Linked DNA regions of Macaca mulatta. The protein of the gene in region 1 purifies or fractionates together with the protein of each later gene. This does not show direct contact. Links are inferred from orthologs where the notes say so. Each region holds a gene or a part of one and is shown in the gene's direction. Other genes may lie near its edges.

The links.
Region 2: the proteins of ACVR1 (region 1) and TGFBRAP1 purify together in Homo sapiens (co-immunoprecipitation; 3 studies listed by BioGRID and IntAct, counting the BioPlex papers as one, with this or other methods). This does not show direct contact. The link is inferred for Macaca mulatta from reciprocal best matches to the Homo sapiens genes ACVR1 and TGFBRAP1.

What each region holds. Positions count from the first base shown.
Region 1 is NC_133417.1:62,607,051-62,614,104, reverse strand, and holds the end of ACVR1 (activin receptor type-1 precursor), read left to right. Parts: intron 1-1,849; coding exon 1,850-1,980; intron 1,981-2,766; coding exon 2,767-2,901; 3' UTR 2,902-3,981; downstream 3,982-7,054. UniProt on the Homo sapiens protein: Bone morphogenetic protein (BMP) type I receptor that is involved in a wide variety of biological processes, including bone, heart, cartilage, nervous, and reproductive system development and regulation.
Region 2 is NC_133418.1:13,410,782-13,418,251, reverse strand, and holds part of TGFBRAP1 (transforming growth factor-beta receptor-associated protein 1), read left to right. Parts: intron 1-4,311; exon of another isoform or gene 4,312-4,314; 5' UTR 4,315-4,328; coding exon 4,329-5,016; intron 5,017-7,470. UniProt on the Homo sapiens protein: Plays a role in the TGF-beta/activin signaling pathway. It associates with inactive heteromeric TGF-beta and activin receptor complexes, mainly through the type II receptor, and is released upon activation of signaling.

The sequences.
Region 1 (7,054 bases):
AAAATAATTAAAAGATATTTGTTTGAATGCTTCCTGGGATTCTTACAGGAGAAGAAGGGCCTCTAAGATGAGGTGTTCCAAGACTTCTGAGAGTAGCAGTTTATACCCAATATGACCTGTTTATGATTTGCTAGGAAGGTTTTAATCCACTGACTGATATGCATTTCAAATGCAGTTACACAAGGTGGGTAAGCTATTTGGAATTAACTAGTTTTTTGTTTTGTTTTTTTTCTTGGGAGACAGAATCTCACTCTGTCACCCAGGCTGGAGTGCAGTGGTGTGACCTTGGCTCATTGCAACATCCACCTCTCGGGTTCAAGCGAATCTTGTGCCTCAGCCTCCTGAGTTAGCTGGAACTACAGGCATGCGCCACTACACCCAGCTACTTTTTGTACTTTTAGTAGAGACAGGGTCTTGCCATGTTGCCCAGGCTTGTCTCGAACCCTGACATCAAGTGGTCCACCCGCCTTGGCCTCCCTAAGTGCTGAGATTACAGGCATGAACCACCACACCCAGCCTAGATTTTTAAAAAATATAATTTAGACTAGTTTCCATCTCAAATATAAACCTTTATTTAGCCAAATTTGTGAAGTTTTAAAAAGATGTATAGTATTTCTTGAAAAGATGCTCTTTATCATAGCTAATGTTTTGCATAAATGGTTTGTATTTGTATGGAATTTGTAAGAATGGATTCCCACTGTTAGTAATTTCTATGATAAATGAAAAGGGAATTGAAGCTTTTCAGGTGGCTTCTAGGAACTAGAACAACTGAATTACAACTTTCCTCACTGTCTCCTTCTGTCCCCTCCAACAACTTTTTAGGTGTTTAGGAATAGAAGAAAGACCCGGAGGAAGAAAAGAGAGCAGTAAACCAAGTTATTACCTCATTGTTTGAACCCTTTGTTGAGGGAAAAGAAATAATAGATGTCTTGGTTTTATGTCTATGAAGGGGAAGAATCCATTTTCTAATTCCAAATAATGAAGTTAAACATTTTTCTGTTTAAGGAGTTGATATAATTCTGCTGGAAAAGAAAAGGTTTCCAGGCCACTGGAAATCATGCAGGGGCAGAAGCTGAAATTAGCTACTTTTCACATTTGCTTTTGGGCAGAGGAAGAGCTCATTATTTATCCGTCTTTTCCTCTGCCTTCCCACGTGGCTATCCTCTTTACATTTTATTTTATGCCTTCAGTATGATTTTAAATAATAGAACCATCAGTCAGACAGCTGTGCCTGGCAGTTAGCGGGTACTCAGTACATGTAGAATGAATTAATGAGGAAATGAGTATTTCCTATTATATTATTTGCATCCCTCCTAATGGAAGAGATTAATGTATAACAATGTTTTTCTTAACAATATTTTTATAACAAAAAAGGGGTATTTTGATGATGGTCTTGGTTTATTACTCCCTAGCTCTGGTTTGTGGACAACTTTTTATTTCTATTTATGGTTGGAAGCCACTAGATTCATGTGCTTTCCCCAGGTGGCTTGGGTGTTTCTGATCACCAAAGGAATTTTTGTTCTATGTCTTCAGTGCCCTGTTGGGCATTACAGGGCTGTTAATATACACTGTGGGAGAATTTTGCTAATAGTTATGATTACATGAGAAGTTTTCACGTATTTCCTTCTAACAATTATCCTTCTTCCAATACCCTGCAGGGTGTATATTTATTGCCTTTTTCTCTGCCTGTTTTAGGACCTACCTTTAGCTTCCAGGACTGCCCTGAGGTATGAGGAAGGTGATTAGTATTTTCTTCTGTCACATTATAACCTGTGACACCCATCAATGAAATCTTGGGGGATCCTGTACTCTCTTGCTAACCCAACACAATTCTTGTCCTTGTGTGCAGGTATAGTGGAGGATTATAAGCCACCGTTCTACGACGTGGTTCCCAATGACCCAAGTTTTGAAGATATGAGGAAAGTAGTCTGTGTGGATCAACAAAGGCCAAACATACCCAACAGATGGTTCTCAGACCCGGTAAGAATGCCAGTTTCTCAGTTTTAGAGCTCTTTTCCATTGTTTGCTATTTGTTTCCTTTTGAGTTTCAACTGGTATAGCATCTGAGTGATCTGTCCTGTGTATCTGTTGTTTTCTCTTCCTATTTTATGTGGAAGGGTTTAGATCTAGTAGAGGAAGCTCAGACAAATACTCCCATTCTCGAAGAAGCCATATCTGATAGGGGTTGCTAGTGAATGACAATATTTGTAAGAATTTCTATGAATGGGCAGCTCCAAGAATTGGGAGACTCATGACTACCGCTACTAGCCCTAAGACTGCAGTTTCATATGTAAACCAAGAGACTTTAAGTGAAGCTTTTAACCTCCTTTCCATCTCTGCATATCTGAAATCCCAAACACAAGCTGCTGAATGCTGAAGATCCTGTATTGCTACTCATAAGTAGTAGTAGATATAAAACAATGAGAAATGACCCTGTTTGGAAATTTCAGGATTATCTCTAGGTTAGTATTGCTGCCTTTAGCACCCATAAAATCATTAAGGGGTCCAATCTGGCCTATGTCGTTTGCCTGATAAAGTAAATTGGTAGCATTAAGAGTCCAAAGGACAGAGTTCATGAAACTCTACGAGTAGCCTCTTTATCAGTGGTTAAAGCTTGAATATTTGTTTAAAGAAGATGACAGTAACATAACTCTAATTTCACAAGACCTGCGAGTTCTTCAGAACAGTTGACATGATATCAGCCCAGCTTCCAGGGCCACTAAAAAGCCAGTTTGTCATTGTGGTGTTTGTTCTTTCTCTCCTCAGACATTAACCTCTCTGGCCAAGCTAATGAAAGAATGCTGGTATCAAAATCCATCTGCAAGACTCACAGCACTGCGTATCAAAAAGACTTTGACCAAAATTGATAATTCCCTCGACAAATTGAAAACTGACTGTTGACATTTTCATAGTGTCAAGAAGGAAGATTTGACATTGTTGTCATTGTCCAGCTGGGACCTACTGCTGGCCTGACTGGTTGCCAGAACAGAATCCATCTGTCTCCCTCCCCAAATGGCTGCTTTGACAAGGCAGACATCGTACCCAGCCATGTGTTGGGGAGACATCAAAACCACCCTAACCTCGCTCGATGACTGTGAACTGGGCATTTCACGAACTGTTCACACTGCAGAGACTAATGTTGGACAGACACTGTTGCAAAGGTAGGGACTGGAGGAACACAGAGAAATCCTAAAAGAGATCTGGGCATTAAGACAATGGCTTTGCATAGCTTTCACAAGTCTCCTAGACACTCCCCACGGGAAACTCAAGGAGGTGGTGAATTTTTAATCAGCAATATTGCCTGTGCTTCTCTTCTTTATTGCACTAGGAATTCTTTGCATTCCTTACTTGCACTGTTACTCTTAATTTTAAAGACCCAACTTGCCAAAATGTTGGCTGCGTACTCCACTGGTCTGTCTTTGGATAATAGGAATTCAATTTGGCAAAACAAAATGTAATGTCAGACTTTGCTGCATTTTACACATGTGCTGATGTTTACAATGATGCCGAACATTAGGAATTGTTTATACACAACTTTGCAAATTATTTATTACTTGTGCACTTGGTAGTTTTTACAAAACTGCTTCGTGCATATGTTAAAGCTTATTTTTATGTGGTCTTATGATTTTATTACCGAAATGTTTTTAACACTATACTCTAAAATGGACATTTTCTTTTATTATCAGTTAAATTCACATTTTAAGTGCTTCACATTTGTATGTGTGTAGACTGTAACTTTTTTTCAGTTCATATGCAGAACGTATTTAGCCATTACCCACGTGACACCACCGAATATATTACTGATTTAGAAGCAAAGATTTCAGTAGAATTTTAGTCCTGAACGCTACGGGGAAAATGCATTTTCTTCAGAATTATCCATTATGTGCATTTAAACTCTGCCAGAAAAAAATAACTATTTTGTTTTAATCTACTTTTTGTATTTAGTAGTTATTTGTATAAATTAAATAAACTGTTTTCAAGTCAAACAGTGAAATTGTTTTTCAAAATATAAAAAAGATCTGTGTAACATTACGCATTTTATTATGGGAGCAATAGAAGCACAAAACTAATTTGTAAATTGAATTTGCTTTTTAAATCTACTCATGCACTTACGTAAGACATCATAAGGATGTCTTACAGCTTGAATTTGGTAAAAGAAAATTTGTTTCTTCCGTTGGCTGTGATTTTTTGGTTTTTTCTTTTTCAGTCAGTTTCTCCAGCTGTAAGGTGAGGGTAACAGATATCTCTGACCTGCCTTTCTTGCAGGGGGGTGTAGTGAGTGTAAACGGGAAGGAGGATGTTAAAGCATTTTGTTAGTGAAAGGTTCCATGTAAAGTGGTCTTATGCATCTCCTCTTACTGCTTGGAGAGTCCATTCTTGATTTTTTCACTTCTTGTACACAAGATTAAAAAGGTAGAGTTAACAGTAGCCCAATAAGAGAAGAGGTGTGAACATGCTGGAATGTCTTCCAGAGGTAAGTTAATAACTTCATTACGATGCATGCATTTACTTGGAAGGTATATATTAGAATCACTTTTTTTTTAAATTAAAAATTAAAATTTTAATTTGTGTTACAGATAACATAAAATTTACTAATTTTAAAGTGTACGTTAACTACATTCACCTTGTGCTACTATCACCATCACCCATCCACAGAACTCATGTGAAACTGAAACTCTATCTGTCAAACAATAACTCCCCATTCCTCCCTCCTTGGTCCCTGGCAACCATTATTCTACTCTGTGTCTCTGAGAGTTTGATTACTCTAAGCACCTCATGGAATCATGTAGTATTTGTCCTTTTGTGAGACTGGTTTATTTTACTTCACATTATATCTTCAAGGTTCATTCATGTTGTAGCATGTGTTTGAATTTCCTTCCTTTTTCAGGCTGAATAAAACTCCACATTTGTATATAGAAACTGCTTATCCATCCATCCACTGAGGGACACTTGAATTGCTTCCATCTTTTGGCTTTTGTGAATAATGCTGCCATGAACATGAGTGTGCAAATGTCTCTTTGAGTTCTTGCTTTCTACTCTTTTGGGTATATGCCCAGAAGCGGAATGGTGTTACCTTTAACGGTTATTAAAATATTACATAATCACATCAAAGTCTACATATATAAAAGTGTACAACCCGATGAATTTTTATGAATTTATTACACCCATGGAAGCAGCACCCAGATAAGGAAGCGGAGCATGCCAGAAGTCTCCCTCTTGCTGCTACCTCACTCTCCAACCCCAAGAGTAACCACCTTCCTGATGGCTAAGAGCATTGATCATATTCGTTTCTTACTGAAGACTTTATAAATGGAATCATACAAGATGTGTGCATGCAGGAGTGCACTCTCTGGGTAACAGGGTCCAGTGTATGTTAGGCTTTAGTATGTGTTACCAAACCATCTTCTTCACAAAGGGTTATTCAGTGTTCATTCCCATTAGCCACCCATGAGAGTTCTGGTTCTCCATCTTCAACAGTACTTAGTATGTTCTTCCTTTTCATTTTAGTCTTTCTGTTGAGTATTATGCACATTTCAGCAAAACAAAGACACAGAGGGGAGAAAGTGAATAACTGATTCTATTTAAAGAGCTCTTACCATTCCCCTCAAGTGAGTCTTTTTGAAGAGACTTGGCCCTTCCATCCTGCTTCCTATTCTGTCAGCCTCACCCCAGCCTCCCTGCTTAACCCTGGCAGCAGCCATTTTTTGCAGTAGCAGTAGGTGAATCTAGTTTGCAGTTGTTCTAAAATTTGCAGAAGCACCTTTATTGTGCCCTTACCTCAGAGATGCCAGTATCAACTGACCAGGGATCACACCCCAGAGGGCTGCCCTGCCCTCAAACTCAGAGACACTAGTATCAGCTCAACAGGACCTCCTCCTCAGAGACCCAAGGATCAGCTCTCTGGGTGCTCCCCTTTAAACCTCAAAGTTCTGGTAATTCCATCCACTTCCTTTTGTTCCTTTAGCCTTGGTGTAGCTGTATATTAGTCTGTTCTTATGCTGCTATAAGGATATACCCAAGACTGGATAATTTATAAAGGAAAGAGGTTTAATTGACTCACAGTTCAGCATGGCTGGGGAGTCCTCAGGAAACTTACAGTCATGGCAGAAAGGAAAGCAAACACATCCTTCTTTACATGGCAGCAGGGAGAAGAATGAGAACTGAGCAAAGTGGGGGGCCTCTTATAAAACCATCAGATCTCATGAGAACTTACTGTCATGAGAATAGTGTGAGGGAAACCACTCCCATGATTCAGTTCTCTCCCACTCCCATGACACATGGGGATTACAATTGTTATGGAAACCACAATTCAAGCTGAGATTTGCGTGGGGAAATCTTGGTATGGACACAACCATGCCAAGCTGCTATCTCTAGTTGATTCCTCTGTGGTACTTTTTGTTTTTGTTTTTGAGATGGGATCTTACTCTTTTGCCCAGGCTGGAGTGCAGTGGTGCGATCACAGCTCACTGAAGCTTCAAACTGTGCTCCAGTGATTCTCCCATCTCAGCCTCCTAAGTAGCTGGCACTACAGTCGTGTACCTCTATGCCCAGCTATCTCCATGCCACTTTAATGTCTTTTTGGCCTTTTCTGTAACATAATTAATAATTTGTTATTGCTAGTCAACTATTCTCTCTACTGAAAAATAACAAAAAACTGATGTAGTATCTGTCACCTGACTGGACTTGGACTGATGAAAGCATTATCCCATTCATTATCTCTTTCATGATACTTGTTAAGGTAGGTAGAACAGTTGTTATATCCCCAAATTACACACCAGAAAACCGCCGCAGTGATGAAGTGTGATTGTGCAGCTAATTAGTAGCAGAACTAAAAGCAGATAATTATTACAGATAATTATTACGTTTTTAGGCTAGAGCTCTCTTAGTTACCTGTGACTCCTTCACATCTATCCCCACCCTTGCCTTTCAGTTTATATATCTTCCTAGGGGAAGGACTAAGAAAATAAAGGGCATTTGGCCTGACATTTGTTGTTTTATTTCTTAATGTGTTTATATTTCACAGGAAGATCAAGTGACACAAGTCCTGGGCAAA
Region 2 (7,470 bases), on another chromosome or scaffold:
TTCTTAACCTGGTAGGAAATAATTACTAATATTTTTATTTTGACCCTTAGCACATATTGCTTTATACTATTACTGATTTATTTTTCTAGTCCTATTTCCTTAAGAGGACAGGGAGACTCTTAGGAAGTGGGATTGTGTCTTATAATTGTTTATTTTAGTTTTTTGCATACTTAGAGGTTCTTGCTACGTATGCAATGTTAGCTTTAATTAAATTATGGTCCTTGAGCATGCTAGCATTTTCCAATCTCTTCCCTACCTGGGTATGTATTTTGAAATTCTAAGAAAACATTAAAATGTTGATCTTTTAAATTATTATAATCATGCTTTTTAAGTGAATTTTTTTTATTTAATATTCTTATTTTTATTTTAAAATAGAGACCAAGTCTCAGTATGTTGCCCAGGCTGGTCTTGAACTCTTGGGCACAAGTGATCTTCCTGCCTTGGCCTCCCAAAGTGTTAGGATTATAGGTAAGCCTTAAAGTGAAGTTCTAACAAAAAGTTTAAATTTTAGATCATTTTGAGATCACACAGTAAAATATGAATTGTACACCTTAGAGAAACGTTTCCTTTTATTACCATGTTGAAAATTCTCTGTTTCAGAACCCCAGCAGGCTATATTTAATGAAAATACAGAGGTGTGGCCTAAAGTTTATCTATCTTTTTATGATTCATATTTTATCTAAGTAAATATGTCATGTGAATTAGGTCATGGAGAGAATTTTCCTACTGCTTAAAAAATAGTTTTTAAAATTATTATTATTATTATTGTTTTTGTGAGATGGAGTTTTGCTCTTGTCACCCAGGCTGGAGTGCAGTGGTGTGATCTCGGTACACTGCAACCTCTGCTTCCCGGGTTCAAGCTATTCTCCTGCCTCAGCCTCCTGAGTAGCTGGGATTACAGGCGCCCACCACCATGCCTGGCTAACTTTTGTGTGTGTGTGTATTTTTAGTAGAGACGGGGTTTCGCCACATTGGGCAGGCTGGTCTTGAACTCCTGACCTCAGGTGATCCACCTGCCTCAGCCTCCCAAAGTGCTGGGATTACAGGCATGAGCCACCACTCCTAGCTAATTATTTATTTCTTTTTTCTTTTTCTTTTTTTTTTTATTTTTTATTTTTTCTGTGTGAAAGCATCTCACACTGTTTCCCAGGCTGGAGTGTAGTGGTGCCATCATAGCTCACTGAAGCCACAAACCGCTGGGCTCAAGCAACTCTTCGGCCTCAGCCTCCTGAGGAGGAGGGAATACAGGTGTGCCCCACCATGCCTGGCTAATTTTTTATATTTTTTTGTAGAGACAGGGTTAAGAATAAGTCATTTTTAAGTGCTAGCCTGTTACTTCTTCAGCTTTCATTTACCTCCATATAATTCTGCATTATTACCATTTAATTACCAAAGCAAGTCCTTAATTTAAAGGCCTGTAATAGGAAGCTTATCTTTAGCAAGGCTTGAGTAGCTAGTTTACTAGATAGTGAAACAATATTGCATTTCTTTTTAAATATAGAGTTATGACTTTTTAGTAAACCATATATTTTTTTACAGCTCTCTCTCCCTCTCCCCTTCTCTATCTACCCCAGGATTTAGACTAAATATGAGGAGTTTGATTCTTTCTCTAATATTCTTTACTGCAAATGTGTTTAGTTTATCCCTTGTGCTAACTGAAGACAGGGGCTGGAATTATGGATAATATACTTTTAAGAAGCTAAATAAAAGGAGTTTGATTATAGGTGCCCAGAGTTTGTTTCTCTATTCCTTCCGCAAAGTAAGACACAATTTATATTTTAAATAGCAGAACTGCTTACTCCTGCCATTGAAAAAAGACAACCTTGATTGATTAATCCATGAAGGAAGAAGTATTTTGTATTACTTCACTTTCACTAACTTAGATGTCTGGAAGCCGACATTTCAGTATCTGGGTTTTACTCATTAGCATTTACATGGAGAAAAAAACATTGTCTAGGTGGGTTTCGGTGGTTGTGTTTGGTTGGGACAAATACGTGACGTTGTTTAAGAGCTGTTTGTGCCAGAGACTATTTGTAGAAGCCTGCAGGAGCTCTGCACCCGGCCTCACCTGGGATTCTGGGGATGCTCCCACAGCCCCGAGGTAGATGGACATGACTCCTTCTCTGGGGTGCCTTTTGAGCCTCCCTCTACACTTCCCCCATCTCTTTTCCATAGTTTCTGTGAAGATGAGCTCCCATAAATGAGTGTGAAGATGTCGTGGGGTGGGGCAGGTGTGTGAGTGTGTGTTCTGGCTTATGATGCAGGCTATCTTTTGGTGGAGGTGAACAGGTTACCCATATCTGAGGACAGAGGACAGCATAGTTTAATCTCTTGGTGCTCAGCTTGGGAAATAAACACCAGAAGCAAGCTGGTAGTTTGAGAGAGGAATAGGAGCTGATCCAGACTGGGAGGGAATCATAGTACTTATGATGAGATCCAAAAGTTTGAGTGCCGTGTGCCGGCTGTCAGTATTTCATATGAGCTGACTTACTTCATGCAACAATCCTATGAAGTAGGTACCGTTATTATGCTCATTTCACAGATGAGGCAATTGAGACTGGAATAGCCAAGTGTCCGTTCAGGCTGCTGTTAACAAACTACCATACACTAGGTAATTAATAGACAATAGAAATGTATTGCTCGCAGTTCTGGAGGCCGGGAAGTCCAAGATCGAGGCATGGTAGGTTCAGTGTTTGGTGAGGGTCCGTCCCTCAAGGGTGGTGCCTTCCAGCTGCCTCCTCACACAGTGGATGGAAGGAAAAAATAAGCACTCTGGGGCCTCTTTGATAAGGGCACTAATGCCGTTCGTAAGGGTTCCACCCTCATGACGTAATCACCTCCCAGTTGCCCCACCTCCCAACACTACCACTCTGGGGATAAGTTTCAACATATGAATTTTAGGGGGACACAAACATTCTGACCATAGCAACAAGTAATTTGCTCAAGCGATGGGAAAAAACAGGAAGGACTGACATGTCCACAGACAAGCCTCCTCAGCCCTGGGGTACCCCCCTCCTGGGGGTTTTGTTGAGCTAGGGAAGGGGGCTGGAGTCTCTCTCATGTGTAGTTGTCATTACCCCCATGGATGGGGGCAGACAAGAAATTGTGGAGTTCCGAAATTTTCTAGTTGAAAGGCACCAAAGAAGTTTTCTGATTCCTTCCCTTCCCTGATGCGTGAACCTTTCTTGAATATTTCTGAGAGGTCTTCCCCACTTTGCTGGAATGCCTCTGAGTATTAGGAACTTAAGCTCTCATGAAGCAGCACTGTTCCATGTTCAGAGAGCTTGAGGTGAGGAAGTGATAGTGATAGGGAACCTTTCACTTCCCAGCTGCCCTGCAGCTCCCGTCATTCTCTGCAGTCCTCTTTCCAGCTCTCTGATCCCCTGCCCTGCTCCTGATCACAGGGACTGTGCCTTTGAGTTTGCTTCTGGCCGCCTGAGAAGTCAGAAAGGCCACCTTGCCTGGTCTTCTCCCTCTGACTTTGTGGAGTGTGAAGCCACAGTTCTCCACAGACGATGAAGTAGGAGGCCACAGGCTCTCACTTTCAGTGGGAACCAGGGACCAGTCCACACATCCACTGAATAGCTCCACTCGCCACCTGAAAGCCTTTCGAGCTCCGAGGCACACCTTTACTCTCCAAATGAATACATTTCCTCCGGAGCTGGGGCTGATGCGCCTGCCTTTTTGGGAAGAACACAAAGGAATGCAAGGCCTGGCACCTGCCTCAGTGTCCCTGGCAGGATCCTGCGACTGTGGTTGTGTTCACTGACTAAAGTACATATTCAAGTAGCTGTCGAAACTCAGGGAAGATCAATGAAGATCACATCTGCCTTTTTCAGAAATCCTTTTTTTTTGTTTCTTTGTTTTAATGGGGTCTCATTATATTGCCCAGGCTGGCCTCCAGCTCCTGGGGTCAAGTCATCCTCCTGCCTCACAGAAATCCTTCTGTTATGTTGCCTGTGGGTGAATGCGTGCATTTGTCTTCTGCCTGCAAGCGTGTCTCCCAGGAGCAATGCGAGGAGGCTCCAGGTGACTCTGTGTGGGGACTGAGCAGGATGGCATGTGATCACAAGCACGTGCATGTGTGTGTGTGGGTGTGTGTGGAGGGGTGTGTGTGTGGTTTTCTGCTGGGGTCTCTTGCTGTCCGATGGGGGAGGTCAGTGGGGAAATGGTTTCTTTCCATTTTTTGACAGCATAGAATGTTTTCCTTTAATGAACATGCTAACTAGGGAATCCACGTATCATTATTGCAACCGCTGTTTCTGCTTCTTCCTTGTTCCTCTAAAATCAGTTTTCCTCTTTCTCTTCCAGCAGATCAGCCAGTAGACATGATGAACATCAAAGCCTTTACGCTTGTCTCTGCCGTGGAGCGGGAGCTGCTGATGGGCGACAAGGAGCGCATCAACATAGAGTGTGTGGAGTGCTGCGGCAGGGACCTCTACGTGGGTACCAACGACTGCTTCGTCTACCACTTCCTGTTGGAGGAGAGGCCAGTGCCTGCCGGGCCGGCCACGTTCACTGCCACCAAACAGCTGCACAGACACCTGGGCTTCAAGAAGCCCGTGAACGAGCTGCGCGCAGCCTCAGCGCTCAACAGGCTGCTGGTGCTGTGTGACAACTCCATCAGCCTGGTCAACATGCTGAACCTCGAGCCCGTGCCCTCGGGGGCCCGCATCAAGGGGGCAGCCACGTTTGCACTGAATGAGAACCCTGTGAGCGGGGACCCATTCTGTGTAGAAGTTTGCATCATCTCTGTCAAACGCAGAACCATCCAGATGTTTCTGGTGTATGAGGACCGGGTGCAGATCGTCAAGGAGGTGTCGACCTCCGAGCAGCCCCTCGCTGTGGCTGTGGACGGCCACTTCCTGTGTCTGGCTCTGACCACTCAGTACATCATCCACAACTACAGCACGGGCGTCTCCCAGGACCTGTTTCCCTACTGCAGCGAGGAGAGGCCGCCGATCGTCAAGAGGATAGGGAGACAGGAGTTCCTGCTGGCGGGCCCCGGAGGGCTGGGTGAGGAGGATGCGTTTGTGCACCTGGTCTTTTTGGGTGGCCTCCGTGACTGCATGTTGAAACTGGAGAGTGAGATTGGCGCTGTGCAGAATAAATCCTCAGTGACATTGGGCATGTGTGGCAAGACAGAGGCAGCAGTGCTTGACCAGTGCTGAATGAAATCCAGTTCGATTGTTCTGTGAACATGGGGTTGCAGTCATAAAACCAGTTTCTTTCACACTGAAGTGGAGCTTGAAGACAGCTCTGGTGGTGTTACCAGGAAGGGCGGATATTCTCAGCCCTTAGTTATCTTGGGAGAAAGATTTTGGCCAAGAGACAATTCAGAGATAGCAGAGAGCTTTAGGAAGGGAAATAGAGAACAGAGAGTTTATATGGAGAGAGACAGTACGTTCTGAAAGATGAGGCAGAGTGGGATACTGAGAGAGTAAGCCAGCAGCCCTGAGAGTTCTGCCTCAGGTTTTTATGATGCTGGATTTTTTTCTTTAAGTTCCCACCTCTCTCTTAAGTTTCTGCCTTTTTCCTTTGTCTGCTTTTCCCGCTTCTGCCTTAAGTCCCCGCCTTTTTCTCCCACCTAATTTCTACCCTAAGCTTGTGGGGCCCTCTCTTACTATTAGTTGGTGCGCATGTACAGCCGGTGTTGGATGTGAATCCCACCGAATGGCTGCATTGCTCATTACCTCCATCCCAGGAAGGTTGTACAGCGGTTAGGTCCATACTTACTGCACCTGCATGTCTCTTTGGAATTTCTCCTTTACTCTCTTTCTCTCCTCTCTCCTCATATCTAGCATGCATTTTGTTTGTTTGTTTGTTTGTTTTGTTTTGTTTTGTGACAGAGTCTCGCTCTATTGCCCAGACTGGAGTGCAGTGGCACAGTATTGGCTCACTGCAGCCTCCGCCTCCCAGGTTCAAGCAATTCTCCCTGCCTCAGCCTCCCAAGTAGCTGAGATTTCAGGCATGCACCACCACGCCTGGCTAATTTTTGTATTTTTAGTAGAGATGGGGTTTCACCATGTTGGCCAGGTTGGTCTTGAACTCCTGACCTCAAGTGATCTGTCCACCTCGGCCTCCCAAAGTGTTGGGATTACAAGGATGAGCCACCGCGCCTGGCCAGCTTGCATCTTTTTGATGGTCTCTGGGATGTGGGATTTTCCAGACCTCCCTTTCTCAGGGCTTCTTCGCTCCTGCTTATGTCTACCTATCTACCCACTCCAACAGCGGGAAAATTCTTTTAAGTAAATAACTACAAAAATAACTTCAGGCCGGGCACGGTGGCCCACGCCTGTAATGCCAGCCCTTTGGGAGGCTGAGGCAGGCAGATCACCTGAGGTCAGGAGTTCGAGACCAGCCTGGCCGAAAGATGAAACACTATCTCTACTAAAAATACAAAAATTAGCCTGGTGCGGTGGCGAGCACCTGTAATCCCAGCTACTCAGGAGGCTGAGGCAGGAGAATCACTTGAACCCTGGGGGGGCGCAGAGGTTACGGTGAGCTGAGATCGTGCCACTGCACTCCAGCCTGGGTGACGGAGTGAGACTCTGTCTAAAAGAAATAAAATAAATAAATAATAATGAAAAGGAGTTGAAGTAGCTCACTAAGTATTTTCAATGTCAGGTACATAACATTTTCTCTTTTATGTCCTGTCATTTCATCCCACCAAAAAGTTTTTCATAGCTAGCTCCTCAAAAGGGGCTTTAGTGGTTCTTCTGTGGCCTTACCTAATTCTCCAGACAGCCTTATCAAAATTAAGAATCAGTGCTTTAACCTTAGTGATGTCTCCTGTCTTCCAGCCAGGGGTGGCTCATATTAGAATTCGTGTATATGTTCATGGTACAGGGATGCTGGCGAGAGTGCGTTCCGTTTAACACTGGTATTTTTTATCCTTGGAGAGTTTTTGTATAGACACCTCATTTCAAAGTGCTGAGTGCAAACACATTTTCTTGTGACAAACAAGAATTCCTGTCACGAACTATTTCATGTATATGTCTTGATTTTCACTTTAAAAAAATATATATATACATACTTTATTTTTTAGAGCAGTTTTAGGTTCACAGCAAAACTGAGGGGAAAGTACACAGAATTCCCATGGACCTCCTGCCCTCCCGTTATCCACATGACAGTGGTACGGGGACACGTTGTTAGCACCCGAAGCCCGTAGTTCATATTAGGGACTGTGCTCGACAAATATGTCATGACATGAATCCACCATTATAGTGTCATTCACAATCCGTTCACCACCTTGAAAGTCCTTTGTGCTCCATCTGTTCATCTCTCCCTTCCCCTAAGCCCCAGCAGCCGCTGATCTTTTTGCTGTTTCCATGGGTTTTTTCTTTTCCAGAGTGTCATCTAGTTGGGACCATACAGTATGTAGCCTTTTCAGATTGACTTCTTTCGCTTGGTCATAGGATTTTCTCTTTCCCCCCACCCTCGCCCAGGCTGGAGTAGTACAGTGGTGCA